Coturnix japonica: one gene and its partner. The protein of the gene in region 1 purifies or fractionates together with the protein of each later gene. This does not show direct contact. Links are inferred from orthologs where the notes say so. Each region holds a gene or a part of one and is shown in the gene's direction. Other genes may lie near its edges.

Region 1 (3,521 bases):
CGTCATGTGACCAGCGCGCCCCATTCAGCTTGGCTGGTGTCGTTTCACATGACCCAGGCATGGCCAGTCGTCAGGTTGCACCGCCCTTTGGTTCCCGAGCATGCTGTTTTCTCTCAGCCTTCTCTCCAACCTTAACCAAATCGGCAGCAGCCACCTCGACCGCCCACACATTCCCGGCCAATCAGCTCAGCTGTTTATTTACCAAATGTCTTCACAACAACTACAGCAGCAGCCTTCGGCTAACAAAAAAGCAGGAAAAATCCACAACACCCCCTTCGCCAACCAACTAAATACAACGCAACATCTGGCAAAACCTTTTCAGCAAATTCTTCTTGGCAGTCAGTCCGGCAGCCTCACCTCACCATTTCTAGCTTGTTGAAACCAAAAACTAGTAAGTTTTTCCTGCTTATACAGTTTACTGCTGGTTAAAATAAGGAGTAAGCGGCTTATAAGTAATTACTTTTCTCAATCAAAGGCTGGCTGTGCATAATTGAATGGTAACGTACCTATGTTGCTTGAGGAAACTTTTAAGGGTGATATGGAAAGTCTGACTGTTGAAATAACGTACAAACGAGTCTATTTGCATGTGAGATGGCAAACTAAATTTTAATAAAGCTCTAACCAACTTAGCTTTTTTTTTTATTGCAATAAAGAAAACCAAAGCAAATCCTATCACCTTTAAACGGTTTTACTAACAGTTTTCAGAACTTAAAACAATTACTTTTTGGGATGAACTGGGCCGAGCTAAGGTTATTGACTTCTTTAAAGTAGTCTAAACACACTATGGCATTAAGAATGACAATCACAGATATGCAGTTCTAATGTAGCACTTAATGGCGTTGTCGATATTTACACTGAGCGCATTTTCACTTTTTTTTCCCACTTGGTATCTCTTTTATGTCTTGTCATGGACCTTTTTGGCTTGCATGGGTTCCAAAACATTTGGTCTGTGCTATTTTTTGGAACCACTTTGTGGGACTTTGGTGTGGTGTTTTGGGCAGTGTATTTAGTTGAAATGGAAGTGTTGCATTGGACAACTCTGCTATGAAGCATTCTTAGTTATAACTGAAACGGTGATTGGAAATGTGCTGTTCACACCGAGCTTGGTTTATTGCCTAATCTTTCCATGCCTTTGACTGGATGATGGATGCCAGTTATTCTTGGCACGTTCCCAGGGCCCAACAGTGAGTTTGACAAGTTGGGAAATGCCTCACCCCGTTAATGCTGGCAGGGTTGATAAAAAGCCTCACATTGTCTTTCTGGTTTTAGATCACCGCGAAGGAGAAGCTTTTCTCGTAGCCGCAGCAGGTACGTACACATTGTTACTGTCTGAGATGTGAAAGGAGGTGAGCAAATGGGGCTGTGTCTGCATACATTCCTGGGTGAGCAATGTAACTCAGCACGCTGGAGAAGTGGATTTGCTTGACCTTACCTACAGGAGATTGCACAGTTATCAGCTGGAAACTTATTTCCACTCTTAATATACTTCATATCACACAGCTGTCCACAGTCCCTTCCAGTTCTTTCAGATGCTGTGATGAGAAGCAGTGTGCAGTGAGTGTGTCCAGCCCTCATGCTGCAGTGTGTGTGAAGCAGTGAATGCACAGTGGGTTTATACGTGGTTATTTTGCAGTTGCATTGGATAAGGTGTATTAAAAGATGCTCAAGTATGTATTGATGCACTGAGTTAGCTGAGGTGCTGAGAAAGCACAGCCTGTTTACATCAGCTTGGTTTGTATTAGATGGCACAAGCTGGTTATTGTCATAGTCTTGGAAAGGGTTTCAGGAAGGGAAAACTTGATGTCCTGAAGGCAATCTCTTGAGGCAGCCATGTAATCTTAACGAGTTCAGCTTCGTTCCGTTGTTATAATCCTTGTGCTGCTGTCTCTAACAGGTCCCTCTCCAGAGACAGAAGAAGAGAGAGATCACTCTCACGGGAGAGGAACCATAAGCCTTCTCGTTCCTTCTCCAGGTCTCGCAGGTGGGTAACTCAGCATCCTTAGTAATACTGAGACACACTGTGGGGGAGAGCAACCTTCAGCCTTTTATGAGGGCATTCACCCTGGAATTAAGACCTATTTTATTAATTGGAGCATTATTGTGAAATGCTCATCTGCCACGTGCTGGGTTGGGGTGGGAGGTTTGAATGTGCTGCCTTTAACACCAGCTGATGTGTGGTTGGTTCTTTCTCTTCCAGTCGCTCCAGGTCAAACGAGAGGAAGTAAGACTTTGAGAGGGAGCTGTGTACAGGAAGTCCTTAGATCTGAGTCCAGGGGAGTATGTACAGAACATTGTTTTGTTTTGGAATTTCATAAAGCTTGGTGCATTTTTAAAATGTTTTAGCTGTTGAACTTGCTTTCCTTGTATCTTGTAACAGGTGGCAAATGTAAAGATGTGAATCTGTATATGGTTCTAAGCAGATCATATGAATTGTAATATGAATCACTTTTTACAATGTACCCTTATACTTAATAGTGTTCAATGGTTACCAGTTTGTCTTTGCGTAGGTGATGTTTCAGGTCTCGACATTCTGCAGGGTGTGATTTGCTGGGGTTCAGCTTGTGGAGGGGAGTGTGCAGCAAAGGAGTTTGTTGCAGAGCGGTGGCTGTGAGTGGTGTTAGTACAGGACAAGGTGCAGGTGTTTGCTTACCAGCAGTCACAAAGGGAACTGCGAGCTGCTATTACCACGGCTCTGGTTCTGACTTCCATTACTGGAACAGAGCTACTTTGTATTATGATATACAATGTTTTAGCTTGTAGGCTCAGTTAATCTTGTACTTCGTGTGACTAGAGTGCTTCTTAAATAGCCGATAGCTTGACCATCTATTCCAGGACCTCTGAATAGACCAAATACACAGCAGAACTGACGACTGGAGTGGATGTGTTGACCGTGTAATGGTACATTGTAAAAGCTGTGAATTAAACATTTCTTTACTGTACAAGAATTTTCATGTCACTTGTAAAATGTCTTTTGTGAGATCCTTGGGATTAAAGTTTTGGTTACAACTTGTTGTTCGGTGTTTAACTCAAGTGAATGTGTGAAGACCTCACCTGAAATGTCAAACAATGGCATAGCTGTCAGTGGCAGCAGGGAGACCTTGGTGTCTGTTTAGTTTTCTCTGGGAGTTTTGCTGAAGGAGCAGCATTGTGCCCACAAAGCAGCAGGAAAGGTGTTGGTTATGTAGGTATGTCTACATGTGGAGGGCAAGGAGCTTAAGAATTAAATGTGTGTATGTCTTTATAAGGAATTTAATGTTGTGTAATGATCCTGCCACACAGGGCTGTGTGCTGCTGGTGGGAAACTAGTGCTGCATCTCATGGTGGGTGGTTAAGCCTGATGTGCAGCCCTTAGAGGGGATGTGGGTTGGTTCCCTTCAGGGCAGGGAGGAGCTGTCAGCAGGAGGCAGCCGGCTCTGGGTGCAGCTGTGTGCTGTGCTCACCCTGCCCCAGCAGAGGTCAGGCTGGTGCTGTTCACACTGCAAACACTAAACAGATGCTTGTTCAGGTCAGGTTTGGTCACA
Region 2 (2,806 bases), on another chromosome or scaffold:
TTCAGAGCTCCAGCGGGTTTGGGGTGCTCTCATTAAGGAAAAAGAGGAGTCTCGGCAAAAAAAGAGTCGACTGGATAATTTACCTTCTCTACAAATTGAAATCAGCCGAGAAAGCAGTTCTGGATCAGATACTGAATCCTGATTTTACACTTTGATCCTCAAGATCGTGACTCTGCAGTGAGGCAAAGATTTCCTTTGCCCAAAAGCTGAACACTGGCAAAGACTGCAGTGAAGGTTCCAGAAATGTCTCAGTTCCTTTTATACACAAATAGAGATGCATATGCCACTTGAAACCTAAAGCAATCATGTTTGTCTGGAGTCTGTGGTTGGCCCTGTGTTATGTAGGGCATTGTCTTATATGTTAATTACAGCAAACCTGTAGTTAATTCTAGCCAAACGCTTTTCCCTAAACTCTGAATTTAAAAGAAGAGGGAGAAACACTCTGTATTTTTAAGAAGACCTTTTTGTTCTTAATATTTTTAACATGGAATCTTTTAACAAAATGTTTTACACAGTTCATCCAAAGAACAGGGCATTTCACAGTCAGCACCATTGCCTTGCCCTTCTGGCACTTACCAGCACCTTTCCTCTTCAAGTAATAACAATAATGCTTCCTTGGGTAAGCAGCCAGCAAGGAGAAAGCATAAAGGGACTGTCACGTTTCCTTCCTCCAAAATAATGAATGTAAATCCAACGCTGTAGTATAGTGAGGTTTCATGCGGTATCCATATAGCATCACTGCTCTCCAGGACTTCATCTGTTTGTTTTGGTGGTACTGAGTTCTGCTGTAAGCAAAAATTGCAGTGTTTCAGACTGCAAAGTTGGTTGAGAGAATTGTGCAAATTCCTGAAGGTTTTTCTTATCTTTTTTTTTTCCTAGTTACATATTGAGAAATTCTCTCATCCAATTGTATTATTACGTTTTGAAGAAATCTTAACAGTTGAAAAACTTCCATTTTTATACTTGTGGAAATTTCCCGTTGGCCATGGTGAGAAAAAAAGCTCTAGTGATGTTTTCCTGTGTGCTGTTTAAACTACCCATATATATCACTGAAAGAGAAAAGGAAAACTATCAGATTGCTGTCCCATGTCAGTATTTTGGAGTGTTCTTGTATATTACATGTGGATGTGCACCTGGTTGACTTGTTACATTCAGCTTTTTATTTCTTTACCCGCGTATCCTCTCTACATAAAGGTTTGATCAGAGTGCAGCTGCAGTTTTTTTCCCTCTCATTGCCTGTGGCACATATATTGATTGCCAGTCATACTGAATGAGTTCTAATGATAGCACAGGAGCAGGCTGCCCAGGGAGGTTGTGGATGCCCCGTCCTTGGAGGTGTTCAAGGCCAGGTTGGACGGGGCCCTGGGCAACCTGATCTAGTAAAGGTGTATGTTTGGTGGCCCTGCCAGGCAGGGGGTTGGAACTACATGATCCTTGAGGTCCCTTCCAACCCGGGTCATTCTGTGATAGCACATTGTGTTCTGCTGGTGGCAAAAAAGACACCCCACCATTGTCTGTTATGTTTTTGACCCTCTGAAGATGTTCGCTTTGTCTTTAAGTCTGTTCATCCTGGATAACATCCTAAGTTCATCCTTCATAACCCTGGCTGGGGTTATGTGTATATAAACACCTGAAGGGAGAACGCAAAGAGAGCTGAGCTATCTTCATTGGTGATAAGATGGGATAAGAGGCAGAAGGCACAAAGTGGAACACAGAAGGTTCTGTCTGAACTTGAAGAAGCACTTCTTTACTGCGTGGCTGATGGAGCACTGGCTGCTCAGGGAACTTGTGGAGCTTTGACATCCTTGGAGCTGTCAGCAGCTGCCTGGACACACCGCATGGCCCTGTTCATGCAGGGGCTGCCAGGTGACCTCAATATCCCTTCCATCTTATGATTGTATCCCTACTTCCCATGTTCTATCAGTCCTGAATGTCTGTATCTCTCTCCTATTTGCCTTTTAGCATTTATTTTCCCCCCTCTTCCTCTCTTTGTTTTGTGTTTTTGGTTATTTGGTTGGTTTTCTAAGTTGGAATAGGTTTGAAGTTGCATCAAAGGAGTCTGCAGTTCTTCTTACTGCTTTAATTAAAGGGGAAGTGGAAGGTACAGCAATGAGAAATGGAAACCAGGGACTGTCTGGTTTTCACATCTTGTTTTGTGACACCCCACTGTTTATATTTAATTATTAAATATATAAATATGGCTCATCCAAGTGCTGTTGAGAGTAAAGCACTGCAGTGTCTGATCACCGTAATGTCCCATTTGAGTGTGTTCTTTCATTAATATCCCTTATTTTTGCGATCCACAAAGGCTCCATCCCCACTAATCAGTTGTAGGCCCCATTTCAGCGCTCCCTCCCTCCCTCCGCGCTGTGAGAAATGGACGCCTCGCTCCCCCCCACCCCCCGCCTCGAAAGTGGTACAGCCTGCCCACCTCTCGCGAGAACAGTAGTGCGGCCCACCCCCTCTCTCGCGAGATCAGCGGTGCGGCCCACCCCCCGCCGTAGGGTGGTACATCCCTGGCCTTTATAAGCAGAGGTCTCGGTTCTTCCCGCCCTTTCTCCTCGTGCGCCAGGCCGCGGTGTGGTTGTTCGCGGTGAGGGCTGCGCCTCCTTGTCCACACAGGGCTGTAGGCCCGAGCGATCTAGGCGGCAGTTGAGGGGGATAAAGGAGAATAGGCCCTAATGGAGGCGAATAGCAGCACCAAGCCCCGCCTGGAACGGCCCCGCGGTCCGACCTGAGGTGAGTGGTGCTGGGATGGGAGGCCTTGGGCTGGGGGAGGTTCTTAGTGCTGCCTTATGAGGCCTAT

The links. The genes of interacting proteins can lie anywhere in the genome.
Region 2: the proteins of SRSF3 (region 1) and NCBP3 purify together in Homo sapiens (co-immunoprecipitation; 3 studies listed by BioGRID and IntAct, with this or other methods). This does not show direct contact. The link is inferred for Coturnix japonica from reciprocal best matches to the Homo sapiens genes SRSF3 and NCBP3.

Annotation. Positions count from the first base shown.
Region 1 is NC_029541.1:1,938,742-1,942,262, forward strand, and holds the end of SRSF3 (serine/arginine-rich splicing factor 3), read left to right. Parts: intron 1-1,269; coding exon 1,270-1,308; intron 1,309-1,894; coding exon 1,895-1,981; intron 1,982-2,197; coding exon 2,198-2,225; 3' UTR 2,226-3,011; downstream 3,012-3,521. UniProt on the Homo sapiens protein: Splicing factor, which binds the consensus motif 5'-C[ACU][AU]C[ACU][AC]C-3' within pre-mRNA and promotes specific exons inclusion during alternative splicing.
Region 2 is NC_029534.1:3,956,246-3,959,051, reverse strand, and holds the end of NCBP3 (nuclear cap-binding protein subunit 3), read left to right. Parts: coding exon 1-142; 3' UTR 143-2,252; downstream 2,253-2,806. UniProt on the Homo sapiens protein: Associates with NCBP1/CBP80 to form an alternative cap-binding complex (CBC) which plays a key role in mRNA export. NCBP3 serves as adapter protein linking the capped RNAs (m7GpppG-capped RNA) to NCBP1/CBP80.